Drosophila melanogaster: one gene and its partners. The protein of the gene in region 3 interacts with the protein of the main gene of each other region in a pairwise test. Each region holds a gene or a part of one and is shown on either strand. Other genes may lie near its edges. The genes, in order: CG11555, Parg and PolE2.

What was found.
Region 1: the proteins of PolE2 (region 3) and CG11555 interact in a two-hybrid assay, tested with the Drosophila melanogaster proteins (one large-scale study listed by BioGRID).
Region 2: the proteins of PolE2 (region 3) and Parg interact in a two-hybrid assay, tested with the Drosophila melanogaster proteins (one large-scale study listed by BioGRID).

Annotation. Positions count from the first base shown.
Region 1 is NT_033779.5:271,822-275,213, forward strand, and holds CG11555 (uncharacterized protein), read left to right. Parts: upstream 1-2,014; 5' UTR 2,015-2,164; coding exon 2,165-2,830; 3' UTR 2,831-2,873; downstream 2,874-3,392. Other genes in the region: mbm (mushroom body miniature), read right to left, coding at 146-685, 734-1,813; CG17078 (uncharacterized protein), read right to left, coding at 3,126-3,392.
Region 2 is NC_004354.4:3,668,259-3,673,338, reverse strand, and holds Parg (Poly(ADP-ribose) glycohydrolase), read left to right. Parts: upstream 1-1,836; 5' UTR 1,837-1,971; coding exon 1,972-2,684; intron 2,685-2,751; coding exon 2,752-4,210; 3' UTR 4,211-4,502; downstream 4,503-5,080. Other genes in the region: Ilp7 (Insulin-like peptide 7), read right to left, coding at 4,635-4,804, 4,927-5,080.
Region 3 is NT_037436.4:5,895,067-5,899,063, reverse strand, and holds PolE2 (DNA polymerase epsilon subunit 2), read left to right. Parts: upstream 1-1,628; 5' UTR 1,629-1,684; coding exon 1,685-2,390; intron 2,391-2,447; coding exon 2,448-3,319; 3' UTR 3,320-3,373; downstream 3,374-3,997. Other genes in the region: CG5592 (uncharacterized protein), read right to left, coding at 1-455, 513-705, 774-1,416. UniProt on the Drosophila melanogaster protein: Accessory component of the DNA polymerase epsilon complex. Participates in DNA repair and in chromosomal DNA replication. Has a role in the entrance and progression through S phase. Has a role in endoreplication. Essential for viability and tissue development.

The DNA of each region.
Region 1 (3,392 bases), on a different chromosome or scaffold from region 3:
AAAAATTAATTCAACTTCATTCTCGTTTTAAACAACAGAGGCGTAATTCCTAAATTCCGTAAATATTAAAATGAAAGAACTAAATCCATTGGTATTGAAAATGTATTTATCTTTCACGTTCCTTTACAACTAACTCACGCTATAACTATTTAGAAAAATTAAACGGAGCTCTATAAGAATACATCATGGAGTTAAAAGGGGCGCCCGGGGCGCCTAGAAGGGGAAATGGAAACACTTGAGGAGGTAGACTGGCTGCGGCCGATACGGAGGCTTTGGTGCCTCGTTTCCGCTTCTGTTTGGACACAGGAGCTGGGTGAGGCTCTTCGCTGGACTCCGAGTCATCGCTCTCGCTGCTGTCATCTTCATCTTCGTCGTCATCTTCCTCGTCATCTTCTTCGTCATGATCTTTCGGCTCCACCTTCATCCTTTTCTGTGAAGACTTCTTTATCTTTTTTATTGACGCCTTTTTGTCCTTTTTGGGTTTTGCTGAAACTGGAGCTGTGACTGTGCCAGCAGGAAATCCAAATCCTTGCTCGCAATGAAAGGCAGTCATTTGCTGCATGGCAAACTCCACAAACGACTGGATGGCAATATTTAGATTGGGCGGGTTTGGACAGTTTTTGAGACCATGATAACTACCGGAGCAATTACGACATATCATCTGACACTGGAAGGAGGTGTGGCCCTGGAAGAGATTTTTTTAAATTGGGTAACATTCTTTTAAAATATTTACCTTCTTGTCGCATATGCCACACACATCCACGGTTTTACCCTTGTTTTTTTGCTTTCTGGCCTTCTTGTCGTCTTCAGGTTCGGTGCTTTCCTCCTCATCGGTAATGGTAAACTGGCGCTCCTGAGAGCCCATGCAGACAACATCCTCCTCGGTGTTCTTTTCCATCTTTTTACTCTTTGCCGGCGGATGACTCTGTTCATCATCGGTGTCGCTGTCCGAAGTTGAGGAGTCGGAGGACGAAACTGGTTTTACAGCCTTTGGTTTCGGAGTTGATGCTACAGGTGTTTTGATGGCCTTCGCTTTTGGGGACGGCACCACCACTGCCTTAGTGTTGACTACCATTTCCCCTGGTTCGGGTTCAGACTCCTCTCCCGAAGTAGATGACGACCTAGAGGAGTTAACCTTCTTCTTTTTAGGAGATTTGGGCTCCGCTTTGACAAATTGCTTTATTTTTGACTTGTGCTCCATTTCTTTCTCCTTCTTGATATTGATTAGCGGCACAGTAGGTTCTTCTGGCGTAACAGCCACATCAGGTGGTGCAACAGATACAGGTGGTGGTGGCGTCAAGTCCGCAGCGAAAGTAACAGGTGGCAGGCTCTCCTGTCTGAGAGAGGAGGGAGCAGGCGAGGATCGAGGCAGAGGTGGGTCTTCGGTAAAGTCCCCCACATTATCGAAGTACAGCATGTTACTTTGGCCAGGACTAACATGCTGATCCTTAGGTTGCCACGAGTTGTTACGGCCACCACGCCTATTGGAATCTCTGCCGCGGTTCCCTCGCCTGCCACCCCAACCACCACCTCCTCCGCCACCGCCTCTATTTCTTCGGCCCCCTCTCTTGTTTGGCTGATGATTATCCAGCTCCTGTTGGGGATCTCTGAACTTGTTAAACGCGTTTCCATTCTGCCCACCTTCCGATCCAGCGTCTGGCCAGTTTCCATTGGCGGCGCGATTTTGGCTGTGGCTGCCTCTTCCCCCGCCTCCACTGCTGCGCCTCTGCTGATTGTTGCGGCCGTAATTCGAAAACGGTTTTCTTTCCTCTCCTGAAAGGTTCCAGCCGGATTGTCCTCCACTGTTGTGCATTATGGAATTGTTAATATTTATAAAACCGCCTAGTTGCGGCGCACGTGTTGAGCCGATTGGGGTTATCGATAAGATCCGATTGTTGGTGGGACTGCCGAAGTGGCTTCTTTCAAGCCAAAACTGCTATTCATTATATGTATATTAAGTTTGAATACCTTATATATAATATAATATATATATATAATACTGTGACAATATGTGACATAATACATGTAATGGACTAAAATGTGAAGTGACCAATGGAAGGTTTTTATAAGATTTAACATATATAGCTAGATTCGATAGTTTCTCAAACTGGCACCTCAGATGGTCAGATGGACGATATTCAGTTTAACCACAAATAACAACGCTATGAATTCTACCAATCCGAAGAAAACAGAAGATAATGATCGCCATGAACGTCAATTGCAGAGCCGCACCAAGGACTGGGGCAAAACCAAGTTCAAGCCAAAGAAGTATGTCCAACCGAAACCAGCGCTCGTTCCACAAGCTACTGCGACGCCCTGGCAGCATGTGAAGAACGACATAATTACGGATTCTTCGGACCGGGGACACCAGGATGTGGACAGCGAGGACGCAAGGCAGTTCATGCAGCAGCGTCAGAAGAACCACCGTCGAAATGTCATAGAAGCCAACCGGTCGCAGGATACTACATGGGAGCCCTTCAACGATGAGAAGCCCTCCACGGAAAGAAAACAACAGCTCTCCACGGACGTTGAGAACTTCACTTTTAAGGAGCGGAACTTTTTCCGAAAGCAACTCACTTTGGGTTTCAATTTAACGAAAAAGAATGCAACACTTAAATCTGCCCTAAAGGACTTGAAATATAGACAGCTGACAAAGGACAAGTTCGAATTAGAACGTTCGAATCATACACGTCGAAATGTGAAATCATCAAATGCGAAAGAAGCAAAGGGTAGCCATCCCTTTCAGAAAATGCGAGATAATGCACATCCTTATCGAAAGAAGGGACCAAATAGGAGAAATCCGTTTCAGAAAGGGCCACATAATGAATAAGTTTAGCTTATTTTCCCTTAGGTGACTTCACAACCCCAACTGGCAAAACATGAAGTTTCAATTAAAAAATAAATAAAAGATTCTTTGTCGGGTGACAAATCAGAAATGTATACACAACATTACTACACACTTTATGCAAATCTTAAAAATAGTGGTACAAATACATGTGGAATAGGTCGGCGAAAATAAATAAACTAAACAGAGTTCGGCTCCTCCTCCGTTGGGAGGAGCAAGAGGAGATTGAAGTGGCGCTCGCTGCGCCATGGTTCCAGCCAAAAATCGTCCAAATGAAATCTCAGCCATGTACATTGGCAAGCTTGGCGATGAGGTGGTTAAACTTGCCGTTGGTGGTCACAGACTTTTTGGCCGATCGCACTTGTTCCGGCGAGTGCTGCAGAAAGTAAACGACGATAAATTCGAGTGTTTGATTGGCTTCCTTAGGGTACATCATGTTAAAGGTATAGTAGTAGCAGATTAACTGGGCCAGAATGTCCGGCAGGTCTTCGTCTTTGGCGGCGAATGTGGCCATTATCTGGCCTTCAATGTAGACCTTCGCCTCCAT
Region 2 (5,080 bases), on a different chromosome or scaffold from region 3:
CATACTTTATTCTTCATACAATACAATCTGCCTACCATATAATTTATGGTAACATTGCTTTAATTATGTGTGAAGTGCATCAGAATTCGGATACAAAAATGAATTATTTCTTTAAAATCTGTATATTAATTAATAAAGAACAGAAATTTCCACAAATATGTAAATTGAATTTTCAAATTGGTTTGGTTCCCTCGTTTTGTTTAATTTCTGAAACTGACTCATGGAAGTGCAGTCTTCTGCTTCTTTCAGCTGTTGATTAGTATAAGTTCATGCTTTTGAGGTGACCTTGAAAAGTTTACTAACATCGCGTTTTCGTCGCTCGCTTTTTCCAAGCGATTATTCGGCTCTATGCATTTTTGTTGTTGCTTGTTTTTTTTGCCAACCCCCGAAACGCCACCCCCGATTATTCCTAGTATTTTCGCTGACGCAAATGAGAAAAGAGAAAGCTCTACATGTACAGTGCAGACTCCCATTGCGTTAAAGTTCATCAACGAAATCTAAATGCTCGGGATTTACACCTTTTTCTGAAAATTTATTTAGTAAAATAAATTTCACTTAATATCTGGTCTCTTTCTCTCTCTATCTCTTTATGTGAAAATCGATCGTTTAACTTATTGAGAGTTGACAGTACTTTTTTCGAGTATTTCTAGGTTATGGTCAAGGCGAAATCTAAGCAAATTTGAAGGCTACGCTCAGGTACGAAGAGCGATGAAGAGAAACGCCTCTTCTTTGTAGAATTCTACTGATAATTCGATTTTTGTTTTTGTGTTTTTTTTTTTTGCTTCTCCTTGCAAAGCTTTTTCGTTTGTTTACGCAAAAAGGAGAGAAAGAGATGGTGCAAACAAATTTCGCGGAGAGATAAAGGTGTGTTGAACTTTAGCAAAAGTACATTTCATAAATTATATTTATTTTGGTTTTTAGCTAGCTGTGAATTTGCTTTTGCGTTTTCCTCAGATGCAAGTGTGTGTGCAAATTATGTATGACCTTTTTTGTATTGTTTTTGCGACGCTTTCAAAACAAACAACTGCGCTCTCTCTCTCTCCCTCTCTCGCTCTCTTGTGTCCATTCTCAGAGTCTTTGCACGTGTATGCAGCGGTTTCTCTTCCTCTTTTCAACACGTAAGCTTGAGCAAAATACCACAATCACATAAATATATACATAGGTGCGAGTGACAGTGCCACATTAAGGGTTAAAAACTGAAAAAATTTGATTTGACCACTGACGTCAACGAAATAACATTTTCTTGCCAAACGTGATTATAAAAACATAAAACAGCAATTACTTTCCGCCGCTTCTTACCTTTTTGAGTATTAAATACATTTATAAAAGTTTCGCAGACGCCTTTAACTTGATTTTCCTTGGTAATATGCACTATTATTTTTACCGCACGAAGGACAGGAAAAAATCCTTTCACTTAACGTAAAACTTGGCGCTCGTTATGATAGTTTTACACTTTAAAAAAAAATTAGAGAAAATAGTTGACAAATTGCTGGAAGATTTGTTTTTTTTTTCTTTTTGTTTGTTGTTGTTCCTTCGGCGGTTATATTTGCAATTCGCATTGCAACGGACACAGTGTTGGTATTTCTCGTGCTGGTATTTAAATACTAGCGACAATGAGAGGTAAAATACCACATGTAATGGTCACACTTTCGCCCGCCGAATTCAAGGCAATGCAATTTTGAATTTGTTATTGATTCATTCTCAAACGAATACCAACATATATTTGAATATATTTCGATATATAAACGCTTCAATTCACTACGCTTCAATCGAAGTGTGTGGTATTTATAAAGTGCGATATTCATCACAGCTATCGCTCATCCCCAAAACACCGGTATGCAAGAATTCAGGTCACACTTGATTTTTCCGATATTCCAAAAGGTTTACCAATCTACGGCAAATCGCCGCAGAGCAAGTGCATCCGTGCTGACCAATCGACTCGGCAAGGCTTTGTGCTTAAACTGCGCCAGGATGTCGAAGTCGCCGGATGGCGGGATTTCCGAAATAGAAACGGAGGAGGAGCCGGAAAATCTGGCGAACTCCCTAGATGATTCGTGGCGTGGAGTTTCCATGGAGGCTATACATCGTAATCGGCAGCCTTTCGAATTGGAGAATTTGCCACCAGTGACTGCCGGCAATCTCCACCGGGTTATGTACCAGCTGCCAATTCGTGAAACACCGCCACGCCCCTACAAATCACCGGGAAAGTGGGACTCCGAGCATGTGCGTCTGCCCTGTGCGCCCGAGTCGAAATATCCGAGGGAGAATCCGGATGGCAGCACCACCATCGATTTTCGCTGGGAAATGATCGAACGAGCCCTTCTGCAGCCCATAAAGACGTGTGAGGAACTGCAGGCGGCGATAATATCATATAATACCACCTATAGGGATCAGTGGCACTTTCGTGCCCTTCATCAACTTCTCGACGAGGAACTGGACGAGAGCGAAACACGGGTTTTCTTCGAGGATCTATTGCCGCGCATTATCCGATTGGCATTGCGGCTACCGGACTTGATTCAATCGCCAGTTCCGCTGCTCAAGCACCACAAGAACGCCTCATTGAGCCTGAGCCAACAGCAGATCTCCTGCCTGTTGGCCAATGCCTTCCTGTGCACCTTTCCCCGGAGAAACACCCTCAAGAGGAAGTCCGAGTACAGCACTTTTCCAGACATCAACTTTAACAGGTGAGCGTCCACCAGATTCGTATATCTTCAGTCGAAGTATGTTAAATATATTCGATTCCATCAAAAGGCTTTACCAATCGACGGGACCGGCAGTTCTGGAGAAGCTTAAATGCATTATGCACTATTTTCGTCGCGTGTGTCCCACAGAGCGGGATGCCAGCAATGTGCCCACCGGTGTGGTAACCTTTGTTCGTCGGAGCGGATTGCCGGAACATCTGATCGACTGGAGCCAAAGTGCGGCGCCGTTGGGTGATGTGCCATTGCACGTGGATGCCGAGGGAACAATCGAGGATGAGGGCATTGGACTGCTGCAAGTAGACTTTGCCAACAAATATTTGGGTGGCGGTGTCTTGGGACATGGCTGCGTTCAGGAGGAGATACGCTTTGTTATCTGTCCGGAGCTATTGGTGGGTAAACTCTTTACGGAGTGTCTGCGACCATTCGAGGCCCTGGTGATGTTGGGCGCCGAAAGGTATAGTAACTATACGGGATATGCCGGAAGCTTCGAGTGGTCCGGCAACTTTGAGGATTCAACGCCAAGAGATAGCTCAGGTCGTCGACAAACGGCCATTGTGGCAATCGATGCCCTACATTTTGCCCAGTCACATCATCAATATCGCGAGGATCTCATGGAAAGGGAGCTGAACAAGGCGTACATTGGATTTGTTCACTGGATGGTGACGCCGCCACCGGGTGTGGCAACTGGTAACTGGGGTTGCGGCGCATTCGGCGGTGACTCCTATCTGAAAGCCCTGCTGCAACTTATGGTCTGCGCCCAGTTGGGCAGACCTTTGGCCTACTATACCTTTGGAAATGTGGAGTTTAGGGATGATTTTCATGAAATGTGGCTGTTGTTTCGAAATGACGGGACTACGGTGCAGCAGCTTTGGAGTATTTTAAGGTCGTACAGTAGGCTTATTAAGGAGAAGAGCTCCAAGGAGCCGCGTGAGAATAAGGCATCCAAAAAGAAGCTATATGATTTTATTAAAGAGGAACTTAAGAAGGTCAGAGATGTGCCCGGAGAGGGAGCATCCGCCGAAGCTGGAAGCTCTAGAGTAGCTGGATTAGGCGAAGGAAAATCAGAAACATCAGCGAAATCCTCGCCAGAACTCAACAAGCAACCCGCCCGACCGCAAATCACCATAACGCAACAAAGTACCGATCTATTGCCCGCGCAATTATCGCAAGATAACTCAAATTCTTCGGAAGATCAGGCCCTTCTTATGCTGTCGGACGATGAGGAGGCCAATGCCATGATGGAGGCCGCTAGTCTGGAGGCTAAAAGCAGCGTAGAAATAAGCAACAGCAGCACAACGTCCAAAACGAGCAGTACAGCCACGAAATCAATGGGTTCAGGTGGCCGCCAGTTGAGCCTGCTCGAGATGCTGGACACCCATTATGAAAAGGGTTCGGCCTCGAAGAGGCCACGAAAATCACCCAACTGCAGCAAGGCTGAGGGTTCAGCAAAGAGTCGTAAGGAGATCGATGTGACCGACAAGGACGAAAAGGACGATATTGTTGACTAGGTGATATTGCACTACAGGATTGTTACTGCCCCCAAAATTGAAGAGGTATAAAATGTATTGTAGATAACTTTAAGGACATATTTAGGGCATTTTAAAGTAGGATCATTGTAAGTCGAATAAAGTGAAATTTTTTTTTTTTTTTTAATTATACTATTCTAATCTGCAAAGACAATTTTACTGTTAAATTTGTATAACATTGATTGATTAATATAATTTGTTATATCATGCAAATCTAGCTTTTATTATGCGAAATTTGTAGTTAAAGCCAGTAAAGTTTCTTTTTATTTAACCGAAACCTTTTGTTTATTTTATTTGACCACAACAAGAACATCAACAACAACAACCACGAAAAAAAAAGCGAATATATATTTGTTTGTTCGTATATATATATATATATCTAAGCAGATCCAACGTCGATGGCCAATCAGTAGTGATTGCGTCGCTTGTTGGATGGACAATACTCGGCGTATTCCTCCCAGGTGCAGCCCGCCTTGGTGCAGCATTCGTTCGATATCGATGGAGTGTTTCCATCCGATCGACGACTTCGCAGAAACATGTTGGCATAGTTCACGTGCAGCCAGGTGGAGCCATCAGCTGGAAAGACAGCAGGTGGTATCATATCGATATCAATGGATCTATAGCATAGATGTACATGTGTACATCGCTTGAAATTCCAATCGTCTTTGGTTGGAATGGATTTCGATTCAACAACTTACGTTCCGTGGTTGTCTTCTTGATCCAAGCCTCATCATTGCCCGTCCTCTTTTTGTTGCGCCGTGTCAGTCGGTAAATGTCCTTCTCGCAGGCCCAATATAGCTGGCGGACCAGCTTGTCACGGCAGCGGGAGTGCGTCTCCTGGTGCCACACGTT
Region 3 (3,997 bases):
CTGCCGTTGATGCATTCCAATGTCCTTTTAGAATACCAACGAAGAGACTGGATGCTGCACACAATAGCATGACAGCCGACATCATGGGCTTGCGACCAATTCGATCTAGCAAAAGCATTGGTACGATTCCAGCAGGAATTTCAACGAGCGAGGAAAGGGAAAAGGTTATAAATATATCTGTGTCCAGGATTTCGACTACGCGAACATGGGCATCGTATGCTAGGGCCACAGTCATCCATGTGACAATCAAAATCGTTAAGACGACGAGCCTGGGAAATGTCTTAAAGAGATCCAGACTGGTGTACTGCTTTCCCAATTGCTCGTTGGCAAATTTAAGTTCATAGCATTCCCGCATCTCGGACCAAACCTCTTCGGAAATGATTTTTCCATTGGCTTTGGCCGCTTCTTTCATGACTTCAATACACCGGTCCACTTTACCCACCGACATAAGCCAACTGCAGTGGGAAATGAAGTTTAGATAGCTTGAAAACCTATTGTTATCATTAATTTACCTTGGTGACTCTGGAGCCAGCAAGCTGGTCAATATCATGAATACAATTGGCAGGGCAACGACCATGGCATAGTGCCTCCAATTACTGATGACATAGGCCAGCCAGGGAAGCAAGCAGGCGCCCAAGGTGAAGAAGAATGTGAGGGCTAAGTTCCCCACCAGTGTGCGATACTTGATGCCAACGTTCTCCAAAGCTGTTGAAAAGAATGTGATGATGATATTTAAATTTATGATTTATGTTAATTGACTCTGCAACACTCACTTAGAATATAAATGGGAACGAAGCAGTAGTTCATTGACAGTCCAGCCACAAATCGGCTGGCAGCAAAGCAGGGAAAGTCCTTGCAGACCACACTTACGCAACCGCCGATCATGGAACAGGAGTTGGCCAGAAATAGTGCAGGCAAGCGACCGGAATGATCGGTTATGAATCCAAAGCAGAGGCAACCAACAATACAGCCCACAAAGTAGACAACGACGCTATATGTCCCGAAATCCCTTTTGTCGCACACCCAATTGTACTCGGTAGCGATGGACTCGTAGGGCACCTCCTTGCGATCATAGATCCAACCATTGTTGCAAGGTATCGGGCTCCTTGTCTGATTCGCATCGTTGGTCGCATTTGAGTCGTAGGGCACATTGTACATAAAACAATTCTCGAAACTGCCATCTTGCTTTTTGGGGATTCCCCGATTCTTTTGTTCACTTTCCGGCAGTCCCTCTAGTTCTCGTACTCTGCACCAGTGATTCTTTGGCAACAGTATCATAAATATCTGACCAAAGTAGGTGAATGCGAACAGAAAGGCGGCGGGCATCATCCAAAACAGCAGTCGCTTCTGAAAGGGGCCAAAGTCCCCAATGAACAGCAAGAAGTTCTCATACTTTTCACAATCTCTGGGGGGCATTTCGACATTTAATATTATAAATATGTACTAAACAAAAGCCAACTTCTTTAAAGCCCTCTTTTTGAACCTTAAATAGTTAAATATATGTTATTTTGAATAAACCATTCAAATATCAACTTTTTGAACTCCACTTTTTTCCGCCAATTTTCGATTACTTTCTAGGCCTTCTATTTTAGCTTCATGTTCGGCTGGTCACACAAATGCACATAGATATCGATAATTGACAACATCCATATCTAATTTGCGCGCGAAAAAACTTTTAATAACAATGGATGTGGATTTACTGCCGCTGAGAAAGCGAATAACAAACACCTTCAAGCTATGTGGATTCCTGATCCGCTCGGAGAACAGTTCCTACCTGGCGGAGCAGCTGCTACCCTTTGACGCAGCGGAACGGGACAAATGGCTGACGGTGATCACCGAGAATCTCCAAAGCCAAAAGCTTTTGACGCCTCATGTGGAGCGAGCCGCCCTGGAGAAGGCCATCAATGAACTTAACCGGGTGGGATTGGATGAAGGGGAGACGGTCTTTGCCCTGATCGATGCCTTTACGGTGCCCCGTTTTCGGTACAACCAGCGGATAAAGAAATTCGAACTGGACACTCAGCCGCGCCAGTTGCTGACCGCCCCGCGCATGAAATCGGACTACATGCAGCAACGATATGCCATGTTACTACAGAAAACTCTGCGACACGATCTCTTTGCCCCAGCCGTCATACAGGATGGCGTTGGGGCCGAGGCCCAGGCCAAGAAATTTAAGCTCCAGTTCGCGGAGAACCTGCTGGCCACGTCGGCGATGAAGGAGGCAGTTGTTTTGGGGCTACTTACCCAGCTTAAAGAGGGCAAGTTCTATGTCGAGGATCCCACGGGTTGCGTCCAGTTAGATCTCACTGGAGCCCGTTTCCATGCCGGCTTCTTCTGCGAGGGCTGCTTTGTTTTAGCCGAGGGCAACTATAACAACGGTGTGCTCAAGGGTAAGTAGCCCAAAGTATTTAATAACTACATCTCAAGAGTTTCTTATGTTTCCCCAGTTGATGGCCTGGGCTTTCCACCTGCGGAACCGGCAAACAGCAGTCGAGCATTTTTCGGCACCGCCAACACTTGGGGCGGTGAATCTGCTAAGCTGCTGAAGTACTCAGCCGGACTACAGGAACTGGAGCGTACCAACACGGAAACAACCATTGTTTTCCTTTCCGACGTTCGGTTGGATCTGCCGGTTGTCATGGAGAAGCTGCGCCAGTTGTTCGTGGGCTATGATTCCTGTCCGCCGCAGGCTATAGTGCTCATGGGTCCCTTCACGGCCAGCACAAGGAATCATCATGAACTGAGGCATCACCTGGATGCATTGGGTGGCTTGGCAGCTGGCTGCGAGCAGCTGAAGAAGCAAACGGATCTGATACTCGTTCCCTCGTCCGAAGATCCCACGGCACCTAATATTCTGCCCCGTGCTCCAATTCCCGAATGCCTGGCAGCCGGGCTGCTAAAGGCCTGGCCACGCACCCAGTTGGCTACGAATCCGTGTCGCCTGCAGTACTGCACCCAGCAGATTGTGGTCTGCCGTCTGGATTTGATGGCCAAGTTTTGTCGCAACACCTTGCATTTTCCTGAAGACACGTCCCAGATCGAGCAGCATTTTGCCAGAACGATTGTGTGCCAGGGTCATTTGGTGCCCATTCATCCGATTGCCATGCCAGTGCACTGGGACTACGATCCTGCTCTGTGGTTGTATCCACTGCCGGATCTGATTGTCATGGGCGATTCGTGTCAGAGCTTTAGCAGCAGTCAACATGGCTGCACTGTTCTCAATACCGGCTCCTTTGTCAAGTCCAAGTTCGCATTCAAAGTGTATATACCAGCGACGCGAACGATTGAGGACTCGGAGATACCGGACGAATTGGAGTAGTTATGATATAGTTAACCTTAACGTAAGTTTGAATAATTATTTAATTACATATGTCGATTACTCTTTGGATTTCGGGCTATTTGGGCAATTTTTTTTTTGTTTTAAACAACTGCAAGCCTATATTTAGAAAGAATACCATCAATTTAACAATTTGGATATAAACTTCTTTCGGGAGCTTAGCTCACTGCGACCTCACATGTTGCTTGGCCCGCCAGCTCGAAACATTTTTCGGCACCCAGTGCGTGTGGCTGTTCCCTCGTGATAAGCGGCCCAGTCTCATCATCACCGTCGTCAGTCATCATATGCGCACAGCATGTGTTCCACAATCGTCTCCTGGCTGTGCGGCTGACGCGCCTCGCAATCTGCTTTTTACGGCGACCGGGGGTTGTCTATTACTTTTCATGACTTAAAGCCGATTTGGAAAAATATTGTTACTCTGCCCGATGCCGGCCACTTAGGGTCGTGGAAATTCAATTTCCCAGGCTGGCGCGCAACTCCTCGGCAGCTGAAACGGCAATTTTGATAATGCGTTTGACCTGAGGACATCGATGGCCCCCATTTGCTGTCACATGACCAGTTGCCGAATCGTTTTTTTAAGACATCATTAGCCGGGTAGGATGTGGAAGTGGGGAGGTTTTTTTTTCCTCCTGCCGAACGGCTCGAAGCGTTTTGCTCTCC